Arabidopsis thaliana: one gene and its partners. The protein of the gene in region 3 purifies or fractionates together with the protein of the main gene of each other region. This does not show direct contact. Each region holds a gene or a part of one and is shown on either strand. Other genes may lie near its edges. The genes, in order: PGR5-LIKE A, AT5G19760 and LHCB4.1.

Evidence for each region.
Region 1: the proteins of LHCB4.1 (region 3) and PGR5-LIKE A fractionate together in Arabidopsis thaliana (co-fractionation; one large-scale study listed by BioGRID). This does not show direct contact.
Region 2: the proteins of LHCB4.1 (region 3) and AT5G19760 fractionate together in Arabidopsis thaliana (co-fractionation; one large-scale study listed by BioGRID). This does not show direct contact.

What each region holds. Positions count from the first base shown.
Region 1 is NC_003075.7:12,005,150-12,011,903, reverse strand, and holds PGR5-LIKE A (PGR5-LIKE A), read right to left. Parts: upstream 4,919-6,754; 5' UTR 4,748-4,918; coding exon 4,549-4,747; intron 4,123-4,548; coding exon 4,010-4,122; intron 3,912-4,009; coding exon 3,815-3,911; intron 3,723-3,814; coding exon 3,622-3,722; intron 3,527-3,621; coding exon 3,470-3,526; intron 3,386-3,469; coding exon 3,309-3,385; intron 3,216-3,308; coding exon 3,053-3,215; intron 2,974-3,052; coding exon 2,876-2,973; coding exon of another isoform or gene 2,872-2,875; exon of another isoform or gene 2,799-2,871; coding exon 2,729-2,798; 3' UTR 2,719-2,728; intron 2,647-2,718; 3' UTR 2,368-2,646; downstream 1-2,367. Other genes in the region: AT4G22900 (transmembrane protein, putative (DUF1191)), read right to left, coding at 652-1,683; LDOX (leucoanthocyanidin dioxygenase), read left to right, coding at 5,845-6,341, 6,426-6,754. UniProt on the Arabidopsis thaliana protein: Ferredoxin-plastoquinone reductase involved in cyclic electron flow (CEF) around photosystem I. The homodimer is probably not involved in CEF.
Region 2 is NC_003076.8:6,676,759-6,687,851, reverse strand, and holds AT5G19760 (Mitochondrial substrate carrier family protein), read left to right. Parts: upstream 1-5,797; 5' UTR 5,798-6,006; coding exon 6,007-6,123; intron 6,124-6,527; coding exon 6,528-6,611; intron 6,612-6,856; coding exon 6,857-6,918; intron 6,919-7,022; coding exon 7,023-7,384; intron 7,385-7,891; coding exon 7,892-8,106; intron 8,107-8,204; coding exon 8,205-8,261; 3' UTR 8,262-8,546; downstream 8,547-11,093. Other genes in the region: TUA5 (tubulin alpha-5), read right to left, coding at 1-152, 230-444, 528-640; TUA3 (tubulin alpha-3), read left to right, coding at 3,378-3,490, 3,573-3,787, 3,865-4,064, 4,176-4,684, 4,776-5,091; AT5G19750 (Peroxisomal membrane 22 kDa (Mpv17/PMP22) family protein), read right to left, coding at 8,725-8,805, 9,108-9,194, 9,305-9,397, 9,488-9,560, 9,716-9,810, 10,087-10,174, 10,379-10,728; AT5G19740 (Peptidase M28 family protein), read right to left, coding at 11,085-11,093. UniProt on the Arabidopsis thaliana protein: Catalyzes the transport of dicarboxylates, such as oxoglutarate, oxaloacetate, malate, and succinate, and of tricarboxylates, such as citrate, isocitrate, cis-aconitate, and trans-aconitate by a counter-exchange mechanism across the inner mitochondrial membrane.
Region 3 is NC_003076.8:202,405-213,497, reverse strand, and holds LHCB4.1 (light harvesting complex photosystem II), read right to left. Parts: upstream 4,633-11,093; 5' UTR 4,415-4,632; coding exon 3,905-4,414; intron 3,618-3,904; coding exon 3,255-3,617; 3' UTR 2,950-3,254; downstream 1-2,949. Other genes in the region: LECRKA4.1 (lectin receptor kinase a4.1), read left to right, coding at 165-2,213; AIRP2 (RING/U-box superfamily protein), read right to left, coding at 5,099-5,309, 5,397-5,631, 5,729-5,795, 5,895-6,045, 6,637-6,701; RUS5 (root UVB sensitive protein (Protein of unknown function, DUF647)), read right to left, coding at 8,347-8,592, 9,223-9,315, 9,411-9,529, 9,599-9,659, 9,744-9,857, 9,981-10,040, 10,140-10,229, 10,344-10,416 and 4 more.

The DNA of each region.
Region 1 (6,754 bases), on a different chromosome or scaffold from region 3:
CAAAAGACAATAGTTATAAGATTTTTTTTCTGTCAACTATAAGAAATTGATCAAATTATATCTATATTTTATTTTATTTTTTCTTAAACTAAATCACAAAAAACTGAAAGAAAAAGAAAAACAAAACCTTACTAAAATGAGTAAAAATTGATTGCAAGTTGCAATGAAGGTGGTGATTTGTTTATATTTCCGTACTTCGCATTAACAATAGCTTACTGGAGAAGATGCTTGTTGATGTGTAGGTGGAAAATTCTGTTAACTAGTCACAATACTGATAAAAGTATATTTTCTTCACTAAATCAGAAATATACATTTAATTAAAAAGTTGGAAAAAGAGATTAATAAATCAAAATGAAAAGAAAAAAATAAAGCTTACAGTATGAAAGTTGGGGGGACTCTCTGATTTTTTTAAATTTTTTTGCATAATTTCACTGACCATTTTATAGAAAATAAAAAAGAGAAAATTCTCCATTCTGTAAAAGTCTTTACTTTTAGTAAAAAGAAAACTAACGATTATAGCCGTTTAACCAAAAACTAAAAAAAAATGGATGAAATTTCATTTTGAAGCCATTGAAACTATTTCTACAAAACTATTTATCTTAAGATACTCAATTAACACAAAAAGAAGAAAAATCAGAAAACAAATGATAATTATGGATAATTACTATTCAAATGAGTGTTTTTATTATACCTATCATCGGAAATTCTAGGAAGAGTTCTAGTTCCAGGAGCAGTAGGAGCTCTAACATGACCCACCATTGACACCTGAAGAGCTTCTTCTTCATAAGCTCTTCTCTCCATTTCTTCTCTCATTGCTTTCTTCTTCCCCTTCACCAACATCGCCACCACTAACATTCCCAGCAGAATTGCTCCAATCCCTGACCCTATCACACTCCCCACCGCCACTTTCCAACGGCTCAACTTTCCTCCTCCGTTGCCACCATTCACCTCCGTCGATGATGCCACCACTCCACCACTACTACCACCACCTTCATGATCATCTTTTTGAGCTTCTGTCTTCATCACGAGAGCGTAATGCCCTTGTCTTGTACCTTTACACACATACGGCGAGACTTGCTCGCTAAACGTTGTGTTACTGTTGCTTGTAAAACACGCACACAAGACTGACGAGTTCTTCTTCGTAGGGTTAGGGCTAGTGTTATTAGTTGCCTTGTTGATCAAGAAATCGATTAAGATTGGGTTTTGATCGGTACCTACAACATTAACCTCGTAAGGGTTCCTGGCCACACCGTCAGGGTTAGCATTATAAGCCAACAAACCAAGAACCGGTGACACGAGCTTGTAATTGTAACCGGATAAGTTATAACCAGTAGAGTAGATTGAAGACCAATTCGAACCAAAGTTTTGTCTAATTAGCATGACTCTCTCCGGACATGGCTCCACCGTAAGGCCTGAACCGATGTGAAACTCTCCAATTTTTGCGCCATATCTTCTCAAACTCCCACACCTTAACTTGACCGTGTCAATATCGATACCAGAGAAATTAGAAGGGAGATAGATTTTCTGAGTGACGCCTGTGTTGAAATTGAGCTTAAAGTTTCTAATGGTGTAATCTCTGATCATGAGATCAAGAAGATGTGTAGATTGAATCAATTGAGACTTAGATTGGTGGAATGATAAGAGAAGTATCATGATGATGATACAAAAAGAGAATGAATCCATAAGAGGAACAAGAGAATCTAGGGTTTACAAGAGGAAGTGAAGATAAGAGGAAAGAAAGAAAGTTTTGATGGTGTTTTTACTTTTGTGGGGGATGTGTGTTTTGGGACACAAACATTATAAACACTTACACTTCATTTGTCAGATTTCTCTTTTACCTTTATAGAAGACATGATCTAATTGTTAAATAAGCATATGACCGTTCTAACGTAGAGGTTTTAAAATTTTTAAATCAACGTAAAAGCAATTAATAGGTTCAGTAGTGGAGGAGAAAATTGGATCAATGATGATAGAGGCATGGGAAGATGATGATCATGATTACACTTTCTGTGTTAATTAAAATTCATAAAAAAAAATTGTAATCAATTTTTAGACTAAAAAAGAGAGAGACATTGGCGTGCTAATGTTTGTGTGACTTTATCCTCTTTTGTGCAATGTTGTTACCTTTGTCTGTCCTTTCATTATATATGTTCTTGACTTTAGTTCTCTTCTCAATCAATCTCTTTATGTTCCACACCATTTCATAAAATTTACATCCAAATTAACACCATGCATTTCTCATAGTTTCTTGCCTCGGTAAGCAAATGTATATAATCGTGTATGCTTTTCGTTTTCTTGACTTAAAATCATTTTTTAAGGTCGTTTTAGATACAAATCATAATAGTATTAGAAATGTACCAAAGTTAATTTGAAATTGTAAAGTTATCGAAATAAACATTTTAAATTCGAATTTGGTCTTTCATGTATACAATTTGATTTAACTATAGTAATGATTATATTTTTATCTACAAAGGTAGATGAAGAAGTGCTCATATTATATATCTCTTATTGCTTACACACAATACTTACAAATCAGAAAACATGTGAAGGAGAGAGAGCTAACATGGAAGATCTTACATATACATTTAACTTCGAATCTATTTTGCTTCTGACAAAACCCATTCTTCTTTTCCCATCTTCATCTAGCTGGAAAAAGCAAATTTTACTATCTCTGACTTCCATGTGATCTAAAGAATTTACTATAAATGAGATGTGTACCTCACAGGGTTTAAGCTTGGCTTCCTTCTGGCAATGTGATCAACCTAGAACCCGAGTCATACACCATCGCGGTTCCGCAGCTAAAAACAGAGATAATCAAAGAATCAGATAGTAATATGTTACACTTTTGAAACCATATTCGAAGGTAAAATCTTACTTGGTGCATTTGACAGTGTTGGTTTTGCCGCCGCTGGAGATTGACAGAATTGTTCCAAAGAAGGAGGTGTTTTCCGTTCCACAATTCGGACAAGGACCCTGTGAAACAAGAAACATTCATAAAAAGGCTCTTTGATGTTTTTCTTTTGCAATCTTGAGTAATGGTAATGGTTCTTACCTTCAAGATCAAGAAGTCCTTGATGATCAATTTGGTGATTGATAAAGCCAGATATACAATCACAGGCACAGCAGCGAACCAAGTGAATATGAAACTGTATGGTTCTGGAAGCTCCATGATGTATGTGATCTCAAAACCTGTAATGTCGTCCAGGAAGAAAAAGCTGCAAGTACAGAATTGAATGAATAAACAAAGACGAAATATGGGTTTCATATGATTTGGATGTTTGAATAGAAAACTCGGTATAGAGACTCACAGTCCGAGAGCAACAACGGTTGCTGGAACATTCAACAATAACATTTTGAAATAATCTACAGCGAGATCACTATACACCTACATTTGAGGAAGTTCATAAAGACTGAAAATTAGTATCTATCTATAATCTAATATTAACAATGAATCTTATGTTCTATTTACCTTTTTACTACGGAGACTGCATCTTGGACCCTCGCTCACAATGTCGCTACCATCAATCTACATGGATACAGAAAGAATCATAAACTTGAAGCTTAAACCAATCTTATAAGGGTATGTCTATTTTCACTGAAGCATAAAAAGTGAATGGAAACCTTTAGTTTGAGTTTGAGCTTATCATATTCTTCATCATTCAAGATTGGATTTCCAGAAACATAAGCCATGGAAGCTTCCAAGAATCTTTGTTCATCGGAACCTGTGTTTCATATTACCAATAAAAGATTTAGGACTTTGCACCAAAGAAACCAAAACAAAGAAATGAAATTTAGTCCCATAGTTGATGATTACTTAGCATCACAACACTGCTTCCTTCCCACATTAACTCTTCTTTAAGGTTATCAAACTCTTCATTAGACATGATCGCTTTGCCATCATAATAGAAAGACTGTAATCAAAAGACAAAAGCAATTCTCAGGCTCTTGAAGATTAGATATATATCATGTTTTGGCAACTATAAAAAAAATGGTTTATTGTAGCGTTTACTTGCAACGCTTGGAGAAACTCTTGTTCCATTTCACCAATTGTTTTCTTCTCAGCCTTGTTGATGCTACAATAGGGCAAAACATTGCTATCGACGTTGTCTCCTCCTACTGGACCTTAAGGAAGACAAAAAGACTGTAATTGAGAACTTCATAGCAAATCTAAAGTTGATACCTTACTTATGCAACCTAATAGTTACACAACTTCTGACATTGCAAAACTTTAGTACAGAGTTAACCACTAAATAGTCAACAAAGTCCAATACAAACAAATATACTATACCAAAGTTATAGCCATTGAATCAATCAAACCCTTCAAAGAATTGAACTTTAACAGGATTCGAGTCTGGATACTACAAGTTAGTGACTTAAAAACATAAATTTTCAGAGCTAGAGACGTTGAATTAAAATAATATATCCTAAATTTCAAAAGGCTCAAACTTTGGAAACCCAATTGTGAACAAATTCGAATCCAAATGGCTTTGTAAACAGAAAACTAAGGCGGAGTGTTCGAAATCGAGACTAAAGTGGCCAAATCAAGACCTGATTGCTCTGTTGTGGCTTTAGCAGGCAACAAGAAGACTCTTCTTCTCAAAGAAATCGATTTTCCAGGGCTGAGCTGAGTCCATTGAGTCCTCGAAGACGGCGACGGAGGAGAAGGAGAGAAAGAAGAGGAAGGTTTGCGAGAAACGGCGGAGAAAAGTCGAGGACTTGTCAAACTAAACAACATCTTGCTACCCATTTTCCCTTAGAGATAGAAAAGGGAGCTCCTTTTTTTCCTCTGTTTTTTTCAGTAAGTATGAACCTGTGGTTGAAGATGTGTTTACTGTGAGCTTCTCAGGTTTCTTCTGATTTTTTTTTTTTTTTTTTTTTTTGGTTTTATTATAAATTTGGAGGGAAGAAATTAGGAGATAAGAGAAGTGTGGAGATAAATTCCTAGGCAGATTTCTCTTATTTTTTCCTTCCTCTCATCCTCATAATCAGAATATCCACGTCAGCATTAAATATCCGGTTTTCTTAAACAAAACAAAAACTTAAAATAGAGAAAAGACATAATTTTAGGCTTTGATTATACAATAAAAAAAATACTGTGAGATGAGTAAGAAGATTTTTTTTTCGAAACATGGTGATTTTTTAAAAAAATTTGACATGTAGTATGTGTAGTTGAATTCAGCTGATAATATACTTTAGTACAAACCATTAAAATAAAAATGAGTTCCAAATTTTAAAAAACAAACAAGATAAATAATTTAGTTTTCCAAAAGAATTATTGATCCACATACAATTGTCTATTTGAAATTGAAAACCAGTCAAATTGTTTTTTTAGTAATTGATTTCCAAACTACAAAAAGAAAATGTGGTTAGTAGAAGAACTAGTAGAGGTGAACACGTGGAGACACGCTTAAAGCACGCGACGAAGAACACGTTGATAGCGATTATGGGTTTAATTCTATTGGGCCTTTTCTGGGAGTCTAGACCCAAGCCCATATAGTAGTAATCTTTTTGACCAATCAGTCAACCCAACCATCCTCTCCCGTTGACCGTGAAGTGAGTCACGCACTTACCTCACAACAATAGCACTAACCACCGGTAGCTCTACAATGTCTCTTAGTTCGGTAACAAACTCTTCTAACTAAAAGTATAGTAAAAACTTTGCTATATAAGAAAGAGTCTTTGCACATTTCATTTACTTGCAACCAATTACAAAAAAGAGTGTAAGAAGAAAAACAAAACAAATCCATTTTTTTTATTACTCTGTTTTTTCCCCTGTTTTTAAGTTTATTTACTTCTTACTCTGTTTTCTGCTCTGTTTTAGCTTTAAACAGAAGACTAAAGAAGATGGTTGCGGTTGAAAGAGTTGAGAGTCTAGCAAAAAGCGGAATCATATCGATTCCAAAAGAATATATTCGTCCAAAAGAAGAGCTCGAGAGCATCAACGATGTTTTCCTAGAAGAGAAGAAAGAAGACGGTCCTCAAGTTCCCACAATCGATCTAAAGAACATCGAGTCAGACGATGAAAAGATCCGTGAGAATTGTATTGAGGAGCTGAAAAAGGCATCTTTGGATTGGGGAGTGATGCATTTGATCAACCATGGAATACCAGCTGATCTAATGGAGCGTGTCAAGAAAGCCGGAGAAGAGTTTTTCAGTTTGTCTGTGGAAGAGAAGGAGAAGTATGCAAACGATCAAGCCACTGGAAAGATTCAAGGCTATGGAAGTAAATTGGCTAACAACGCGAGTGGACAATTGGAATGGGAAGATTACTTCTTTCATCTTGCGTATCCTGAAGAGAAGAGAGATCTATCAATTTGGCCTAAGACACCAAGTGATTACATGTAAGCTTTGAATTGTTTTACTAAAGAAAACAAAATCTTGTTTTGGTTTTAGAATCTTTTATTAACGTTTTTCGATGATTGTAGAGAAGCAACGAGTGAGTACGCGAAGTGTCTTCGTTTGCTAGCGACTAAAGTCTTCAAGGCTCTCTCTGTCGGTCTAGGTTTAGAGCCTGACCGTCTAGAGAAAGAAGTTGGTGGTTTAGAAGAGCTTCTTCTACAAATGAAGATAAATTACTATCCAAAATGTCCTCAGCCTGAGCTAGCACTCGGTGTGGAAGCTCACACCGATGTAAGCGCTTTAACTTTCATTCTACACAACATGGTTCCGGGTTTGCAGCTTTTCTACGAGGGCAAATGGGTCACTGCAAAATGTGTTCCTGATTCGATTGTGATGCACATTGGGGATACTTTGG
Region 2 (11,093 bases), 6.5 Mb from region 3:
ATCTACAGACAAACGCTCTAGCAACAGAGAACCCAATCCAGAACCAGTTCCACCACCAACAGCATTGAACACCAAAAACCCTTGTAAGCCAGTACAGTTGTCGGCAAGCTTCCTCACACGGTCAAGACATAGATCCACAATTTCCTTTCCAACTGCAATTACAAGAAGCATTCTAAGGACCATTTCAAAAACCCTAACAAGTTAGAACAAGCAGAAAGTGGATTCTCACCAGTGTAATGTCCTCTAGCGAAGTTGTTAGCAGCATCTTCTTTCCCAGAAATGAGCTGCTCTGGATGGAAAAGTTGACGGTAAGTACCAGTACGAACTTCGTCGATAACGGTAGGCTCGAGATCAACGAAGACAGCCCTAGGAACATGCTTCCCAGCTCCAGTCTCGCTAAAGAAAGTATTGAACGCATCGTGTGCAACACCAACTGTAGTATCACTGCAACAGAGCAAAACATTCGTCTCTCAAAAACCTTCAGATCCACAGAAACAGAGTATAAAAGAGAGAATTAGGGTTTATACCTCGGCATCATTCCGTCGGGCTGGATTCCATGTTCGAGACAGTAAAGCTCCCAGCAGGAATTTCCGACTTGGATCCCGGCTTGTCCGATATGAATGCTAATAATTTCCCTCATCTTCTCTCAGCAGAAACCCTAATTCGAGCGATGCTCTGCGACAGACGGAGAAGGAGGAAGACGGAGATCGAGGAAATGAAGGCGGTGAGAGTGAGATCTTCTTTTTTTGGTTCAACTTCGTTGGCAAATTAGGTTTATATTTTGTGAAGGGAAAATGATTAATTTATTGAATTGGATTTGATAATTTGTTGGGGTCCGCCATTTTGTGACAGCCTGCCTTGGGTCCCACGGCTTCGCTTTTGTTCGAAAATGAGTTCATTTTACAATATTGCCCACACGATCCAGTTCATTCTACAGTTTCTCAATTTTGGCTGGCATAAATATCTTCGGCGGATACATGTTACTTATTGTTATGGACCGGATTGGTTTACGTCAATTTAGGATATAGGATCGAATCGTGGATTGGTTTATCGATCCGGTTCAATGTTTTTTTCATTATTGTTTGTTCAAACAGATTCTACAATTTTTTTTTTTTTGAACACGTTTTAACAGATTCAGTTGTGTTGATCTACATAATGACAAAAGTCACATAAAACTATTGGTCATGATCATACTATAGTTGTTTTTATATCATCAATTTTATTTAGTGATATGCTTTATGAATTAATAATTATGGATGGACATTTAAAACACCAAAAAAAAACATAATGGACAACTCTTTGGTATTTAATGGTTTTTAATCAAAAAATTGATTAGGTGGAAACAAAAAAAAAGTGGGTGCACAAATGAAAATATACAGGGTCATTCGATTATATATACTAGTAAAAATAATATGAACCTCTCAATAATATATGTATAAGATTATGTGAAGTTATTGGGTCGGCAGTCGGCACCTAACGGGAGTGAGATCAAATGGATGTAATCATGTAAACTTATGTGCAGAAAAGAAAATAATGTAAACCTATGAATGAGTAGATTATTAGTATTGTTTAGTGTTTCTTGGAGATGTAAGGGTTCTCACATCCACATTCTACTTCATCTTCCTCAAATCCTCTGCAATTGTTTTGTTCCCTTTCTTAAAACGATTTGGGAATGTTCTTAGGATATTGAATGTAAAGTAAAAAGATTTGTCCCTAGTCTGAAATCTATTCATTTTCATGATATTGTGTGAATGAGAACCACCACAATACATAACTGAAGTTTTAATAAATTACATGCAAAAAATTTAAATAACTATTTATGTAATAGTTATATATCTCTCTATTCATTATTTGTGTTCATAAACAAACCAAGTCATGTGGAAATATGAAATAATTGTCTTGATGACATATTTAATCAAACAATTCCTTAACCCAACCCATTTCCAATCATATCAACTAGCATTTTTGTAAACTCGCAAACTTTGTGACCGTTATGTACTCTCTTCGGATTCACGGTTTCACTCGACCGTTGTCTACTTTACTGTATACTCTCTTTGGGAATTTTTTAGTCTTAAGGTTAACTATCAATTGCTTTAGGATCATGCATTTTTTTGTCTTTTTGTTAGTTTGAATGGATGAAAATTCCCTTAAAACATTATATTTATAGGATTGAATTGCTACTTAAGCTATCTTCCTAACCGCATGCATGAATTCAATGGATTTGATAATCGTTTATCTTGAAATCTTGATCCATTATATCTAAACAATTGCTTAACCCACTTTGACATCTTTAATCTGAAACCGCTTAGGAAAAATATGCTATATAGAATTAATATAGCTGATTGTCTCAATTCATCTAACTTAACTTAGCAATTAGAGAATTAATCTAGCTGACTATCTCAATTCATCCAATACAATCTTAGAATGATCAATTTATATGAGTTTATCTTTCGTATCATTACAATCATTTTGGTTATCAAACCATCATTTTGGTCGTACCTTTATCCACTCATTGAAAAATATAAAAATATTTGGCTCCGATTAGTAATACGCGTAATTGCAAAATGACATTTTTTTAATACGAGTATATAAGAATGTTACCAATTAAGAAAATTAACATAATATTTATTAAAACGCAAAAATACAGAATTTTTGTTTTCTTCATAGAAAATAAAAATAAAAATTCATTATGTAAATACATATTATATGTATATTTAATTTTAGACACATATATTTGTTTGTTTTATTATGCAATTTTTCATTCTACAAATTTATAGTTTTGCAAATTTTTATTCTCCTACTTATGTCATTAAAAGGATTATACGGGGTTATCTCAGAACTTGTGATTTCAAATCTTGAAAACACGTTTTACGTAGTCAATATTTATGTAAGTTAATTAATAAATAAATGCACTAAGAGAATCAAAATCTTATAACAAAGACAACCTTACATGACGTTTCTTTTCTGTTTGGCGCTTACAAAAACATCCTACTATAACCAATAGTTATTTAAACCACTAAACCCTAATTTAACCTATAATATCGATTTAGGTCGGTTAAGCTATTATTTACCTCACTCATACTAACGAAATACCTAAATTCCGGTAAGTTATTTAAACCGGATAAAAATCGACACCTTCCAGATCTAGATCCAGATCGAATCTCACGTATTTTGTCTATGCCCAGTCCCAAAGGCAGGCTGTCACAACTTGGCGGACCCCAACCAATTATCAAATCTCATTCAATAAATAATCAATTTCCCACAAAAATCATGGAAATTAGGAAAAAAAGAAGATCTCGCTCACCGCTCTCATTTCCTCAATTCTCCGTCCGTCGAAGAAGCGAATCGCTCGAAATTAGGGTTTCTACTGAGAGAAGATGCGAGAAATCATAAGCATTCACATCGGACAAGCTGGGATCCAGGTCGGAAATTCGTGTTGGGAGCTTTACTGTCTCGAACATGGAATCCAGCCGGACGGAATGATGCCGAGGTATAAACCCTAATTCACTCTTTGTACTCTGTTTCTGTGGATCGGAAGATTTTTGAGATACGAGTCTTTTGCGTTGTTGCAGTGATACTACAGTTGGTGTTGCACACGATGCGTTCAATACTTTCTTTAGCGAGACTGGTGCTGGGAAGCATGTCCCTAGGGCTGTCTTCGTTGATCTCGAGCCTACCGTTATCGACGAAGTTCGTACTGGTACTTACCGTCAACTTTTCCATCCAGAGCAGCTCATTTCTGGGAAAGAAGATGCTGCTAACAACTTCGCTAGAGGACATTACACTGGTGAGAATCCACTTTCTGCTTGTTCTAACTTGTTAGGGTTTTTGAAATGGTCCTTAGAATGCTTCTTGTAATTGCAGTTGGGAAGGAAATTGTGGATCTATGTCTTGACCGTGTGAGGAAACTTGCCGACAACTGTACTGGCTTACAAGGGTTTTTGGTGTTCAATGCTGTTGGTGGTGGAACTGGTTCTGGATTGGGTTCTCTGTTGCTAGAGCGTTTGTCTGTAGATTATGGAAAGAAGTCTAAGCTTGGTTTTACCATATACCCTTCTCCTCAGGTACTCTTTCTTTTGCTAGACACTGAAGTAGAAACTCTTACATGACATGTTTCTATAGTGGTCTAATTTGGATGAAACTTGGTTTTAATGCATATTCCTCTGTGATGTCAGGTTTCTACTGCTGTTGTAGAACCTTACAACAGTGTTCTCTCAACGCATTCCCTTCTTGAACATACGGATGTAGCTGTCCTCTTGGATAACGAAGCCATCTATGACATTTGCCGCAGATCCCTAGATATCGAGAGGCCAACCTACACAAACTTGAACAGGTTGATATCACAGATCATTTCATCCTTGACAACATCTTTGAGGTTTGATGGTGCCATCAACGTGGATATCACTGAGTTCCAGACCAATCTTGTCCCATATCCCCGTATCCATTTCATGCTGTCATCTTATGCACCAGTCATCTCAGCCGCCAAGGCTTACCACGAGCAGCTATCAGTCCCTGAGATCACCAATGCCGTTTTTGAGCCAGCTAGCATGATGGCAAAGTGTGACCCGAGACACGGAAAGTACATGGCCTGTTGTTTGATGTACCGAGGAGATGTTGTTCCCAAAGATGTTAATGCTGCTGTTGGCACCATCAAGACAAAGAGGACTGTTCAGTTTGTTGACTGGTATGATCTAGAAATGGATAAAGCTGCTACTGTTTCTACCTTCATGTTGTTATTATATAATAACTCCTTTGGCATGGGTTTTGTTTTGCAGGTGCCCAACTGGGTTCAAATGTGGAATCAACTACCAACCTCCAACAGTTGTTCCAGGTGGTGACCTCGCTAAGGTTCAGAGAGCTGTATGTATGATCAGTAACAACACAGCAGTTGCAGAGGTGTTCTCACGGATCGACCACAAGTTTGATCTCATGTATGCGAAGAGGGCATTTGTCCACTGGTACGTTGGTGAAGGAATGGAGGAAGGTGAATTCTCTGAGGCACGTGAAGACTTGGCCGCACTGGAGAAAGATTACGAAGAAGTTGGTGCTGAAGGTGGAGACGATGAAGAAGATGAAGGTGAAGACTATTGACACCTTTTCTCAAAAAAACTGCAACCAAAAAAAGTTTTTTCGTTTATCTGTTTTCACTTTTGATTCTGTTGATTGTTTAAATCCTGTAAAATATTCGTTCGGTCTTCGTGTTTTATCTCGGTTGGATACATTTTCATTGGTAGAGCGACCATTGCGAGTTCCCGAGTTCATTATCAAGCTTTTGTTGTACCAAACTTTGATAATCTTCTTACAACTGTCCATTTTTCCTTGAAGTATAATCTCGTCTATCGGTGCGCTAACGTTTATCAACGTTCTGTATATGCTTTGTTGTCGTATCAGCTAATAATACATTTATGAGATTCAACTAATGTTAACAAACCACGTTGATCTTCACAAAAGGGCATCAGAATTATCAAATTGCATCAGAAATACTGCTCCACTGGTCCACTATCTAAAATACGGCGTGAAAAATGCCAAAAATTATTGAACAAATACAAAATACAAATACAGAAGATCAATTTTTTTAAAAAATTAGAATTTATTGGACCCAAAAAATTCAGAATACTAACGATTTTCAACTTCATACTAGAAAATTAGAAATGGACGAATGTCAAATCTAAAATTCATATGAATGCGTAATAAATAACTCTAAATATTTGGATTGCGTAAAATCCGAATGGTGAAAAGTAAAGTCCAAATTAATAAATTTAGAAAATATGTCTGGCTTAGATCAGATCTCATATGCAAATGGAAAAAAATAAAAATTAAAAAGGCAAGGGTTTGGTGCAATTTAGTTTCAGTTGGGTGGTGTTAATATAAAAGGCCCATAAGCTTCACACTTCATCGTCTCCTCTCCACCAAGTGAATCTCTTTCTCTCTCTCTTTTTCTCCGCGGAAGGAATCTCTTCTTCTGGTTGCGTTTGAGTCCGTACGAAAACAAAAGAAAAGAGAGAGATGGCGGAAGAGAAGAAAGCTCCAATCAGTGTCTGGACTACCGTGAAGCCCTTCGTCAATGGCGGTGCCTCTGGTATGCTCGCTACTTGCGTTATCCAGCCGATCGACATGATTAAGGTCTGTCAAATGTTTACGGATACACGTTTCTGTATCACCCATCTCTATGTCTAAGCTCGTTAGTATTAACAATTCTTGCTTGATTTGCTGGTATTGATACCTACGAAATCCGTAAATGTTGTTCATCAGATCCGAGTCTGTAGATTTTATCTCTCAGATCTGAGTTTTTGTTTTGGCTTATTATAATCAAATTTCATTGCTCGGAACATAGTCAGACTCGTTTGAGTGTGAATTGTTGCTATTGATACATGTTTAGATGAAATGTTCTAGTTCAGATCTGGATTTTGATTAGAATAACGTTCTTAGGTTCATCACAATGTGTGATTCTTCGCCTGTGTTCATAGGATTTTTAAATGATGTGAATGTAATTAACTAATACTTTGTTTTGTTTCTGGTTGGTGAAGGTGAGGATTCAACTTGGTCAGGGATCTGCAGCCAGTATAACCACCAACATGCTTAAGAATGAGGGCGTTGGTGCCTTCTACAAGGTATAAATTGCATTTCTGGATGCATTACTTATCTTGAAGATGTACGTTTTGTGTAGTATGTTTTCTATTGATATGTTCATGACTTTTGTTGATTTGTAATGTATATGATTTCTGCATTTCCGGATCTGAGTCTCAGCTATTCAAAGAATTAATTTCCTTATCTAACAGTCTTTCCAACAACAACATTAGTTATACCCCATTGAAGATGTCTCCTGAGCTTATTTGATGTTAATTTTTTTTAATAGGGATTATCTGCTGGGTTGCTGAGGCAAGCAACTTACACGACAGCCCGTCTTGGATCATTCAAGTAAGTTAGTCATTCGTCTTTCGTCTTGAGCCCATCCAGATGAATAGATTTTTATTGCCTTATGGTTATGGATAAATCATCCTCTCTTCTGTCAATCTTATTAGGTTGCTGACTGCAAAGGCAATTGAGTCTAATGATGGAAAGCCTCTACCGCTGTATCAGAAGGCACTATGTGGTCTGACAGCTGGTGCTATTGGTGCTTGCGTCGGTAGTCCAGCCGATCTAGCACTTATCAGAATGCAGGCCGATAATACTTTGCCGCTAGCTCAGCGCAGGAATTATACCAATGCTTTCCATGCGCTTACCCGTATTAGCGCTGATGAGGGAGTTTTAGCACTTTGGAAAGGGTGTGGGCCCACTGTGGTCAGAGCTATGGCTTTGAACATGGGAATGCTTGCATCTTATGATCAAAGTGCTGAATACATGAGAGATAATCTTGGTTTCGGGGAGATGTCTACGGTCGTAGGTAAGCTGCTCTTCCAAGTTTCTCATACAGTAAGAATATATTTTTTCTGTGAGCAGGTAGATAGCAGTTAGAGTCAAGGATCCTAAGAATCAATCGTCTTGGAAATTTACATTTGTAGCATATAATCTCCTGATTACACGAGTGTTAGATTGTCATAAATTAAATGTGTATTTCACTTAATACAATCTATCCAAGAACTACACCAAGGAAAATACTTTATTAATGAGAGGACTCTCTAAACTCTCAACCGTTGCCCAAACCCAGATCTAAGACCAATCCAGAATGGATCCCATTGCGTTGTCCTTACTCCCTTTTAAGAGCTACTAATTGTAAGGTCGCTCAGTTGGCAAAACTACACTTTTCTCAACTTCCTAGGCTTGTTACACTAGTTCTGCACTAGACTTAACAAGAAACCTTTATCAGTATTTTCATATGGTCATGTAATCTCTGTATGATAAATTGTAGTTAAAATAGATCTCTGAGTTTGGTTTTTGTTTACTTTAACAGGAGCAAGTGCTGTTTCTGGGTTCTGCGCTGCGGCTTGCAGTCTGCCATTTGACTTTGTCAAAACTCAGATTCAGAAAATGCAACCGGATGCTCAAGGAAAGTATCCATACACAGGTTCGCTCGATTGTGCGATGAAAACCTTAAAAGAAGGAGGACCTCTGAAATTTTACTCGGGTTTCCCAGTTTACTGTGTCAGGATTGCCCCTCACGTCATGGTATAATAGCTCTTATCTCCCTTTTTTGTTTATGTTATTGTAATTACCACTTCGTGATTGCCTCTAAGATAGTTGTTGATCGGGTTTTCTTTTGGCAGATGACATGGATCTTCCTAAACCAGATTACGAAATTTCAAAAGAAGATTGGTATGTGAGGAACAAATACAGCAGCAAAAAAATAAGATGAGAAGAACGAAAACACAATTGGAATTGTGTTCATTTGCTTTTTAATCATATACATAACCTGCCTTAAAAGCATATTATTGTAGCTGTTTGAACTTTAATTTTTTGTTTCGGTCGGTGATTGGTCCGGTGAATTTTAAATTTTCTTCTTTGGTGGAAGTTTAAGACACATAGCCAGAGATTTCAAAATTTTCATACGAACTAAAAAAATTCTCTGAATGAGGAAACAATAAATATATGAAACATTGATGATGGGGAAATATTTGAAGTGCTTGAAGAAAAGCTTGTTTCAACTCTAAGAAAATGTCAAGTGCAGGGTTCCCAAATAATTGTTTCGAAACACCAAACATTTGCATCAGCAGACAAGACCGTTTCCCCAAAACTCTGCCGATAACAATCCAGCAACCACCTCTAGGCTCCAGGTAAGAAACATGTCTACTTTGCAACAACTTCTTTGTGAGCTTTGAATGATAAAATCACATTCCAAGCCAAAGCCACTACGTTTGAAGCAAGTACCTGCAATAATTCATATATAAGACATCGATTCATCCTCAAAGCCAAAGAAAATCTTGCTAAGCATACTAGCTAGAAGCTAATGTCATTCAAGCGTAATTCATCTCAAGCTCATCATGTCAAAGATGTTTTTAACAAGGGCTCAAAAACATGAAAATGCGTAATAAATTCTCAAAGATTATACTAAGCAGAGGATTAACAGCGTGTGGGTCGTTATTCGTTATGTATGAAGCATATCTATCTTAACCCAATTGTATTTTTTTTCAGACTCCCGTTTCATGTAGTCACAGAGTTTAGTATCAAACCTGGTAGTTCTGTGGAACAAATCTGAAGTTAAGAAACTGAAATGGTATCCATAGCTGCCAATTTGCTATCATTGCACCAGTCCACTCCTATACAACCAGCAATTCATGGATTCAATTAGAACACCGCAAAAGATACAAAGTATCAAATTTAGATTCCTGCACCGGAAATATTAAGTTTAGTTAGGTTTTAATCCAACCTGTTGTAGCTTCGGTATGACATTTGATGGTTTTCCTTCAAGTGTCACAACTGCTGATAAGAAAACTCCAACAAAAATAGGAGCAAAAACAAACTGCAAATACAAATTTTGGTGTTAAGTGCTAACACAGAGGAAGCAAGATGGGAACATAATTGTTAGACTGGGAACAGGAAACTTTGCTACCTGATCCAGTAGAAGTCGTATAACTGCGCCTGATAATCCAGAAGCTGTCACCACTTTGCTCAAATACAAATACCTAATGGATGGAGTTGAGAGATTTCAGAGAACAGAGAATAAGCATAAGTAATATACCAATGGATGCATAAGTCTCTTCAACTGAAGAACCACTAGCAGAGACGTAATATAGTTAGCTTTTGCGGTGTCATACGAGTGAAAGGTCCACGGAAATACCAGAAATGCAATGTTGGACCGACTAGCCCTAAGCCCAAGAAGGTAAAGGTGAGTGTCCTCTTCTTGTCCAGCGATGAGGTCTTGTTGATAGTAAGCTGCAACCAAAAGTGATACGAATAAGCAATGTCGCTCACATATCTAGCAGAATACGATCAAGCATTATAAAGAAAATGGGGCTTTACTACATTATCCTGTATTTTGGGTCTATTAGCTTCCATTCTAACTTTAAAAAAGAGATAGCACAATTCAAGTTAAAGTCTGTCTGTTCAGAAATACATAATGCAGCAGCTCATGAATACTGTTTTATCTCGATATATCCTGAATAGTGAAGAATCCAAACTTCAAAGATAGCACAAAAATGAGAGAGTTACCTGACAGATCAAATCTCCAACGAGGTTCAAAAGTGCTGCGGTCACAGCTTTGGTCAAAACAGGAGAGTTTGAGAGAAGAGCCTGGTACCTGAAGCACCATAGAAAAAGGCACACAAAGTGTGTTTATGCTCAAGTCAAAAGCAAAGAATCATACTAGAAAAAAAGTGTTCCGTGAGTAAATTATTAACACATCCAAGAAAAATTTCCAACATCTGCTTCAATGAATTGCTTTTCAAAGAAACATCTTTACACAAGAACAGGAGTAGTGACAGGAGCAAGTAAGAAAAATTACCATGAGAGAAGTGACCACTTCTTTCCTTTTCCGTCGCTTCCATCACCACCACCGCCGCCGGAACCACCACCACCACCGCCTGAACCACCTAACCCGCCAGAGCCACCTGAATTCCCACCTGGGACCGCAGAGACCCGGACTAGATGCCCAAACGCAGTCCCAGAACGCCCCGGCCAATTGCTCCGACCACACTTCAGTGAACCAACATTTTTGTACCCAAACGAAAGAGCCTTGCTCGAACTACCTTCCGTTATAGTTCTTCGACCAAAAGACGAAGAGTGATTACCTGAAAACCCAACAGAGTTGAACGGGAGTGGTGGTTTCCGGGTTAAAGTGATAGAGTTAAGCATCGTTGTTTCGTCTGGTCTGAGACTGAACGGCGTTGACTCTAGCTTTTACAAGTATAGAACTCCTGAATCTAGCTTCCGGTTGTATTTTGGGCTTTTATATGGGCTTTAGTAATGGGGTTTTATATGGGTCTTCATATGCTGATATGCATCGAAGCGACGCCGGAGTGTATTGATCTCACCGGAGGTTTTCAAAGCGTTTCAGGGTTTAACTTTAATCAAAAGAAACAAATTTTAAGCAAAAGAAATAGAGGAACTACAAAATGTAAACACCAAAACTGAATAAACTTGTGACAGAATCTTATCTGCCTTCATTATGTTCACATCATTGTGCTGAAGCAACAAGAGCATTCTTGATCTCATATCAG
Region 3 (11,093 bases):
CATGTTCCTTCTTCTTTTTTGGTTTTGGTATAATTTTCATCTTCTTTGACTCATTAGAATCTGAAAGAAAAAAAACAAACTCTCATCTCATGTCCATAAAAGAAATTATCTAACAAAGAACTCTTCAAAGTATCTCTTTATCTCCTTCTTTACTTCGCTCACCCATGGGCACACAAAGATCCATGTTCATAGTCTCATTCTTATTCAAGCTTTTCCTGTTTTTGAGCGTCCATGTTCGAGCTCAGAGAACAACAACAAATTTTGCTTTCCGAGGTTTTAACGGAAACCAATCGAAGATTCGGATTGAAGGAGCCGCGATGATCAAACCCGACGGACTATTGAGACTCACTGACCGAAAGTCGAATGTTACCGGTACAGCTTTCTACCACAAACCGGTGAGGTTGCTTAATAGAAATTCCACAAACGTCACAATTCGTTCCTTTAGCACGTCTTTCGTCTTTGTCATAATCCCTTCAAGCTCAAGCAATAAAGGCTTTGGATTCACATTCACACTATCTCCAACACCTTATCGTCTCAATGCTGGATCCGCACAGTACTTGGGAGTTTTCAACAAAGAGAACAATGGGGATCCTAGGAACCACGTATTCGCAGTGGAATTCGACACGGTGCAAGGATCAAGAGACGACAACACCGACAGAATAGGAAACGACATCGGTCTGAATTACAACAGTCGTACTTCGGATCTCCAAGAACCAGTCGTGTATTACAACAATGATGATCACAACAAAAAAGAAGATTTCCAGCTTGAGAGTGGCAATCCTATTCAAGCCCTTTTGGAGTATGATGGAGCAACACAAATGCTAAACGTCACCGTTTATCCCGCGAGATTAGGGTTTAAACCCACAAAGCCTTTGATCTCTCAACATGTTCCAAAACTGTTGGAGATTGTGCAAGAAGAAATGTACGTCGGATTCACGGCATCGACGGGGAAAGGTCAGTCAAGTGCTCATTACGTGATGGGTTGGAGTTTCTCAAGCGGCGGAGAACGTCCAATTGCGGATGTTCTAATCCTCTCGGAGCTTCCTCCGCCGCCGCCGAATAAGGCGAAGAAGGAAGGTTTAAATTCTCAAGTCATTGTTATGATCGTGGCGTTATCGGCAGTAATGCTGGTCATGCTTGTGTTACTCTTCTTCTTCGTCATGTACAAGAAGAGACTGGGACAAGAAGAGACTCTTGAAGACTGGGAAATCGATCATCCTCGCAGATTGAGATACAGAGACCTCTACGTAGCCACGGATGGATTCAAAAAGACTGGAATCATCGGAACCGGAGGATTTGGAACCGTTTTCAAAGGAAAACTGCCGAATTCGGATCCCATCGCAGTGAAGAAGATAATTCCAAGTAGCAGGCAAGGTGTTCGAGAATTTGTCGCAGAGATCGAGAGTTTGGGGAAACTAAGGCATAAGAATCTGGTGAACCTCCAAGGATGGTGCAAACACAAAAACGATCTCTTGTTGATTTACGATTACATCCCCAACGGAAGCTTAGACTCTCTGCTCTACACTGTACCGAGAAGAAGCGGCGCCGTTTTGTCGTGGAACGCTCGTTTTCAGATCGCTAAAGGAATCGCGTCTGGTTTATTGTATCTTCACGAAGAATGGGAGAAGATTGTGATTCATAGAGACGTGAAACCTAGCAATGTCTTGATCGATTCAAAGATGAACCCTAGATTGGGAGATTTTGGACTCGCGAGGCTTTACGAACGCGGAACGCTATCGGAAACAACAGCACTCGTTGGAACCATCGGGTACATGGCGCCAGAGCTTTCCCGCAACGGAAACCCCTCATCTGCGTCTGATGTTTTCGCGTTTGGCGTTTTGTTGTTAGAGATCGTTTGCGGGAGAAAACCAACGGATTCCGGTACCTTCTTCTTGGTCGATTGGGTTATGGAGCTTCACGCGAACGGTGAGATTCTCAGTGCGATTGATCCGAGACTAGGATCTGGTTACGACGGAGGAGAAGCAAGGCTTGCTCTCGCCGTCGGATTGCTCTGTTGCCACCAAAAACCGGCGTCTCGGCCGTCGATGAGAATCGTGCTTAGGTATCTAAACGGAGAGGAGAATGTACCTGAGATTGACGATGAGTGGGGATATTCAAAGTCTTCAAGAAGCGAATTCGGATCCAAGTTGGTAGGATATGTTTCGTCGACCTCAATCACCAGAGTTTCTTCGACTTCTCGTATCAGTCAGTAGTGGATAAAGCACATTCACTTTTTTGCTTCGAATTAGTCAAATCGTTTAGCTTCAAAAGACCAAAACATGATTTAACTAGTACTTATGATTAATGAACAATAGTATAAAATAAATTTGTTGGAATGTCTATAGCTAAAAGTTTCTGAAATGAATGTGGCGGGGAGGTAAAACCTTAATATATAATTTTTTCGTGACGTCACACAGATTAGTCATACTATCAAAAAAATTAAAATTAGTATTTTGTAACGTCACAAAGATTACTCATACAGTTATGATTTTTTTATATAAAATTACTGTATGTTTTGCTTAACGTCATCATTTTTGTTATATTGTCCGGATTATCCATTTTTGATCGTTGAACCAGCCAATTCTATATTCATAATTGATTATGACGAACCTCATTCCTCAATGAATATTTTTCTTCAAAAGAATATTAGAATTACAATCAATTCATCGAATCTCCACGTTCAATAGTTTGAAAACATTTTTTGTGGTTGTTTCTTCAGTGCATACGAGCAAGTAATTGAACCTGCTTTTTTTTTTTTCCTAAACTAGTAATTGAACCTGCTTGTTATGTGTCATAATCAACGACAAAAATAATAATTCAATGTCCTCCCAAATTACGGAACAGTGACAGTGAGACACGGAATCAATTTCAAGGAGACTTCACAAGACAAGTCTCCCATGTTCATCCAAATCCCACGCGGTGTGTGACTATCCTTTTTTTTTTTTTTTTGTCTGTGGACTTATTTGTTTTTCTGTACGGTTCTCCTTTTTCATTGTCCAAATCAAGAAAAAATAATCACAACATAACTAATGGGTCGGTCTTGTACTCCTGCTATTGGGCCAATCTGTATATGCGACAAAAATACATTTTGAAAATGTACGACGAGTAGGTATAGTAAATAAGGAGAAGCCCAATTTAATGTCATGGGCCAAACATGTAAATAAACCAAACAAGCAAAAGCCCAAAGTCGATTCAGTATCATCATAGCTCTGTTTTTACATAAGTTACAAATAGAATCTCACATGATAATGATTTTAAGATGAGGAGAAGGTATCGATGATGGTGGTGTGGAGTGGATCACTGAGGTGAGTAGCCCAATTGTTGAGTGGACCTTTACCTGTTGCAGCCGCTTGAACCGCGAATCCCAAGAAGGCGACCATCGCAAGACGTGCATGCTTGATCTCAGCTAACTGAAGTTGAGCAGTCTTCTCCGGGTCAGCCGCTAAACCTAGCGGGTCAAAGAACTTGCCTCCGGGGTATAAACGCTTCTCCGAATCAAGCTCGGCGTTGCGCTGGAACTCGATGTAGCCGATCACTAACACCTCGATCCATATCAATGTCGAGATCGAGAAAGGTAATGGCTGCCCCAAGTAGGACGATCCATCTACAAGCTCCACCTGATTGAATAACAACATTTCAACTAATATTTAAATATCACTCATTGAACACTAGACTTGAATATTCTTGACTGAACAGAAACTCAAACAGTCCAATGCTAACGCAAACTGTAAGAAAGAGAGAGAGACAGACGCCAAAGCAAACGCTAAATCAACTAAATTGTACATACATTTCTATCTGAGTCGCAAACAAACGCAAACGCAACTATTTGAATACTAATTTATTAGCATCTTCGAAATAACTAACTTATAACCGATTATCCAAGTGGAGAAGGGAGTGGCGTTACCTTGCCAGCGTCTTGCCATGTAACGCCGGTAAGCCATTCGACGGAGAGAGCGCCGAGAGTAGCGAGCATCGCCCACCGTCCGTGGATGAGTTCGCATTCCCTGAATCTCTGGATTCCGAACACCTCACTGTACGGCTGAAACGGCGTCGATTTGGCGTCGGCAGCTTCCGTACGGGTTCCGATCACGTCTCCGGCCAAGTTCTTAGCCAGATTCTGGTCTAGTGAATCGATATCGAATTGAAGATACTCGGCCGGTTTGCCTAAACCGAAGGGATCAAAACCGTAATCTCCAACCAAGGAACCATCAAGCCAGTCAGGAGAAATGGCGCCTGGGTACCAAAGAGGCCGGTCCGTAGTCACCGTCTTTTTGGCACTCTTTTTGGGAGCTGCCTTCTTCTTTCCGAAACCGAACACGGCTGTGAACCGACCTGAACCGGGATGGATACCGGGAGCCACCCGAGTACCCATGATGGAAGAAGCAGCTGCAGCAGCGGCGGATGTTGCGGCCATCTCCGGCTAATTGGGTTTTGTGATATTCAGAAGATAGAGAAGAAAGATCCGTTTCTTGATACACGATTATAGATGCGTGGAGGTGAGTTTCGGAGCTGGCCTATCTTGGAAAGACGATTATGACCGTTGGATCGATTCACAAATCCATCTGACGGTGAGTAGGATTACTAATCTTATCTATTAAACTCTGCGTTATCTGGTGATGTTTCAAGTCCATTGGCAATAAAATCTAGATGAGGTACAATCTGATTGGGTCAAATAATTTCTTACCCCAGTTAGAAGAAGCCACGTGTACTGCGGTCTTGTGCTTCACTCAAATTGCTGGTTTCCGGTTCAGCCAATTCGATCCATACCGAAACCAAATTACTCCCCAAAACGATCAAAACAAGTCGGTTTGACTGAAACACCAATCGGTTACTGTAATTCATAGTCAGATAGACAGATACTAATTTAAACGAACCAAAATGTGATTAAGTACCCTTAATCAGCAAATATGATATCGAATTTTTGATCTAAATGTCAATAACCAATGGTTGTTATATACAAACCCAAATCTGAGACTATAGAAAGATGAAAAACCAACTAAAAACACATAAATATTATATACAAAGTGGACATAAATAGATGAAATTTGTTTGAAAGAAATTGCTATGTGCATAACAAGAAACAGAGAGAATGTAATGTTCACCGAGGAAGAGGAGCATAAGGGACAAGATTTGGATCAGAAGTAACGAGAGGCAACTTGTCAATGTATATCAACAACCTCTTCAGATTCTCCTTGTAAATCGCTGGTAAATCTGCAATCTCGGCGCTACAAGTGTATATCCATAGATCACCAGAATTCACTCTTTTCAAGCTGCCTCGACAGAACGGGCACGACTGTGACCGTGCACGCCTATTCCAAACAAGAGATTCTATAACTTGTAAGAAAAAGGCTGATGAATGGTGAGAGTGAGTGAAAAGAAGGAAAAGCTTTATATACCAGTTTCTGTAGCAGTTTATACACATGGAGTGATTGCACGTAGGAAGAACAACTTTGTTTCGAATCTCCAAGCAGATTCCACACTCTTCTTCCCTCTCCAAATCGATCTCCGACATCTTTCCTTTATCTGTTCTGTCCTTTTTACGGTATCTTTTGTCGCATATCTCCTTCTGTTTCCTTTCTTCTACATCGGTGATCCCTCCATGAAGTTGCAATAGCGAAGGAAACAACACATCTGCCCAACAACATCCATTGCTAGTCAGAAAAAAACATATCGTCTGGTCTAATCTTATACCTTTAGATTAAGAGAGAATAAGTGATTAACAGATTACCATAGAATTCTCTGATACTAGTTTTGCGTTCATGTAGCGACATTGTGGTCTTCCCATCAACATATGCCTATAAATAAAAAACAGAGAATCACATATCAGGCAGACAAGAACATTGTGATCTTGAAGATCCAGTAGCAATAAAACAGCAGGAAAATTAATAAGAGACCTTATAAATAAGGATCCTAAGCAAGCCCAAAGCGCCAGCGAAATGACAATCAGTCCACTGAAGAAGGAAGAGAAAGAGATGAGCCGCCGGGCTGTAAGATAATCTCATCTGAACGTAGCCACCATCATACTCCTCTGGGTACTCTGACGCCCTACACACACATAGTTCATTTTTTTTTAATCATTTTGATTCAATGATTGGTGAGATTAGTACGCAACATGAACATGTTGCTTCACAGCTTAATCCAAGTATACCAAGTCAACTTAGGATAGCATCAGAGACTATATACGACGAAAGGAAAAAGAATTGACCACTATAGATAGATTTTGTGTGATCTGACCAAAAGGTGGTGGTGGCGTCTGAGACTTGCTAAGGAATAAATTGGAATTTATGAGCTCGCGTAAACGCAAAGTCTTAAATTCAATATGACATCAGCACACATAAGACCCAGCAGACAACAGAGATACAGATTCACAAGTATCAAAAACTGATTATCCTCTGGAAACTTCAGTAGAAGTAAAAAAACAATCTGACCTATCGAATCGGAAGAGACAAAAATCAGCAACTCAAGCAAAGGGAAAACCGAAGTACCAACTAAATATGGATTTAACCACAGCATCAAACAAATTTATGAGGCAAATCAACCACTCTCGACTAAGAACACGATCAGATTCTACCAACACATCGAAACATCAAAACAGAGAAAAACAGAGAGAAGAAATAGAGAGAGAGAGAGATTTACAGAGTGTTGGCGAACTGGATATCAGCTTCAAGAGCCTTGAGTGAATCCTTGAACGATTTTCGCATTTTCCGAAGAACAAAGTTTTGACATAAACCAGCTTCCTTCCGAGTGATAGAGAAAACAGAACCCTACTAGCTCCTTTGTTTATTTTTTTTGGTCGAGATCACCGACAGAAGCCTAAAATATCGCAAACCCCCTAACAACAACTCGAATTGATTCTCTCTCCCATTTCCATGGAGGGTTTTGAGTTTTTTTGCTCACTCAACCACAAGGCAGCGACAGGAAGAAGAAGAAGAAGGAGGAGAGAGAGAGAGAAAGAGAGGATTTAGATATTGATAGATTCGCGTAGAGCACACGTAATATCAAAAATATTACAAAAGGGGAGGAGCGTCTGTCTAAAGCTCTTTTTTGTTCGACAAGGAACGGCAACACTTCTCCTACTACTCCACACACAAAAATAAAAGCTTCTCAGGAGTAAATGGTAATTACCATAAAGCCCTCCCGTTGGGATCCACCTAACAAATATAGGATAACATTATTTAATTAAAATGAAAATCTGATAATTATTGAGTGACACGCCGGTGACAGGACGTGTGTCACTGCTATAGGCGGCGGTGAGTGGAAGTGAGCCTACATTGCTTCATCGTCGTGAGAGCTAGAATTATCTGACCGACATGTGTTTTATGTCAGTGAAACCACGACACGTGGCGGAATACATGAGCGTACGTAGGTCCAAATACTAGCTTTGACGTGTCTCTATTTCCATACGGTAATAAAGTGGACCCTAGTTAACCCCTCAGAATCGATGATTTTGTGTTAACCATTTATGGAATATTTTTGCATGCTTGGATCGCCAAAGGCCATGTATAAAAATTGCTTAGTTTTTTTTTTTAATTTGGGGTTTAGGATGATACGTATGTGACCTACGTGTGCTTTTACAATCAATGAATATGGATGAGGAGGGCAAAAGAATCACCACAATATTAGTAATATGTTCGTGACATGATTGCTTATCATTATTATTACGGAAACAAATTAATAGCGATAATGACTCATCAAACCGCTAATTCAACTTTAGTAATGAAGACAAAAATAAAGCAAATTCACTTTTCACAAAATTGCAAATACATTGCTCTAAACTGCAAATTTAATCCGTATATGATAATAAATCAAAAGATAACTCTATCTAATACATATACAGAACTTATGCTACAATTTGAAATATATCAGTACTTAGATAATAATAGCTGAGAGAAGCAGAGTTTGGTTCTATTATTAGTATACAAATCAAAATTATAAAATGTTGTTGTCTTGTTGTTTTTAATTCCGAAAGCCACCTCTAAATTCTAAAATAAACGCAAGCAGAATAATGGTGACGAATCAAGTACAAACAAAAGAGGTATAATCACTATCATTGGCCTAAAACCTTACCATTTGTCTCATCATCCACACTAACTTATTATTAGATATTTTACTTTTTCTTCTTAATTTTATATGGATCAGGTCACACAATACAAATTTAAACAAGTTGCCATACAAAGCCTGATATATCCTAACTATATTAGCTGTACCGAACATGATATTTCTACAAATCACCTATAGACTACTCCATATTCTCAAATTGACAGGGTTTGGTATTATTTACCTCAGTGTTATTTTCTTCTGTTCAAGAGATTGCGTGATGAGTCTGAAGAATCAATCAATCGAGTGTTAGAAAGGGATAGATTCCTGGTCTATGAGAACTTGGTTGGGAACCTTCAAGTTAGATTCACGTAGATTCCATCCAGCAGTATCCAATTTGAACAAGAAATCATCAAACTTGTTGTCCATCTCCGACAAGCTTTGCTTCAGCCAGTGGAACACACTATCCTTGTCTTTAAAGCTTTCTTCCATGTTCTCCTCTAACCAATATGCTTGCCAAAGGCATCTCAACACGTCTCTGCTTGTGGCATTCACCTGCATTATTTGTTTTACATTCATGAATTAAAGGCAAGGCAAAACAAAATGGATTAGGCCTCACATTCACGATATACTTGATGGAGAAGGAGTAGAAAAAAAGCCAGAAAGTATGTAAAGTAACGTAGTTTCAAACGAGAATGATAAAAGCAAAGAAATATTAAGATCATGCAACACTTTACTGATAAAACAACAAAAGGTCGACTCTAGCCACGGTAACTGAGAGTACTCTCCAGCAAGGTGAATAAACTTTGTCCCGTAGGTTAAGCCGATATTTCTGAAAAATGACTGCCTACCTCATATGCTTCTCAAGAAGCTTATTCAACTAAGAAGAAGCAAACAGTATGTCATCCCTATGATCTCTCACAGTCCTAACTTGACATGCTCTAATTAATTACCCATGAATGGGTTTCAAGACTCTCAACTAATCACTAACCAAAGCATACCCAACTCTCTATCAGGTTACTTGAAAGACAAATAAACGAGTAACGTATTCTAGGTTCTTTCTTCACAGTGCAAGAACAAGGAAAATCATGACGGAGTCAGTAAATGCAGTATGGTGCTCGGTTTTAAATTTAGCCCTTTTGGAGGAGAATGAGAAGCAGATAAGTCGTGTAATATAGGTTTTACCTTAAAGGACACAGAAAACTCAGTATCCTTGTTCAACTTATTCAACGTAAGAATATATTTCTCCTTTGTGTACATCTTAAGGAGTGCCTTGACCTGAAAAAATCAAAGTTTCAAGAACTTGGACTTACAAACAGAAGATTCTCTCAAGAGTACATATGGATGCAGTTAAGATGAAAGGAGAAGATTACCTTAGAAACAGATTTCTCCAGACCAGACAACTCTTCAAGGGATACACCAAAGATGATTCGAGGTTTCATGAACCTCTGCCACAGCAAAATGTTTTCTCGCTTGTTGCAGTCAACATATCCTGTATAGTATTATGAGTCTTACTTGAACGTTGAATAATAAGCTGGATAAAGGGAAGAAATATGCTTACCTGGTACAACTGAGTGCACAACATGAGATTCTACTATGATACGAGCACGCTTGAGATTTACCTGTCAATATTTCAAATCAAAGTTATCACTTATCTGAGTTTTCTCAAGTTGGGATTGTAAGAATATCCATTTCAAAACTCATACCGTGTTAAATTGTAGGACTGCAAGCGACTGGTAGCGTAGCCAGAGGTGAACAAGTCTAATGCTCGTCCATGTAAGTAACACAAACGGAAATGACTTTACAAGGCCCGGCGTGTCCTGCATCAAAATTTAGAGCATACAAACGCTTAACATGAAACAAAAAAAATGATTTAGATGAAATCCAATGGGGACTTCTAATGAAAAGATATGATAAAATGATTCAACAAACAAGTAAAATACAATGATCAGAATGCCGAAACCAAGACCAATTAGCTGCGCAGCAACTTCCCACACTTCTTCCTGAAACGTTGAACATAAATTAAAGACTCCACTAATAGAGTAAACAAGCTACTACATGCTCGTATTTGGGTTTTGATTCCACATACATGACTAGCATACCTTGGCTGCTACCTCTCCAAGATTTCCTGAGATAGCGAAATGATTCTGAATCACCCTGAATGAAGGGTCTCTCAATCCTCTAGCCACAGCCTATTTCAAATTGAAATCTAAGTATCTCACTCTGTCATTTAAAGCTTAGCGGAAGCGAATTCTGGATAAAGATTTCAGCTGGCAGGAAAATAATAAAACTGAAATGAGGAATACCTTGGCAAGATTTCCCGTGGATGCCAACAGTAGGAACTGGGATGGATATAGCTGGGTTGCCAAATCAAAGAAGCTACGAAAAAAAGAGAAAAAAAAAAAAAAAAAAAAACTGTGATGCTTATACACAGTTTTAACCAAATATGGCTCACCAAGAATTTAAATCCTGTACTACAAACCTTCCAGCACTGCCAATAAAATCTGCATACATGCGCCATTGCTTAGGATCATCATCAAAAAGACTACCAAAACGTCCACCTGGAAAACATACCCTTCTTATTGTAGAGGATATTAGATAACTCCATGAACATTTATTAACGTTCCGATGGTTTCCCTACCAATAAGAAGACGGCCAAGAGCTCCAATTCCATCCTTGGACACCCATCTGAAGAGACAACACATGGTTTGGAAAAACTATAAGAACAAAAAAAATATGCAGCAGCAAACAAACAAAGTTTGCATTAGAATGAAAGTAAACCTGATGGCTGCAGCAGAAGCAGCAGCAGTAGCGGCAGCAGAAGTTCCTGAGAAAGAGCCAACCCCAACCGCCTGCATTGTAGCACAAGAATTTTGAAAAAAAATTGCAGAGCATTCTCAACATTTGTCTCTAGAAGAAGTCCAGTCATAAGAAGACCTTAGCAATAATTTAGGGGATTCCCGAACATGCCTTGAGAAGACTTGACGTGACTAATACATTACAAATCCAGCCAGTAATATTGGTTGGGAACTGCCACAGCATATAGTCCAAGTAAT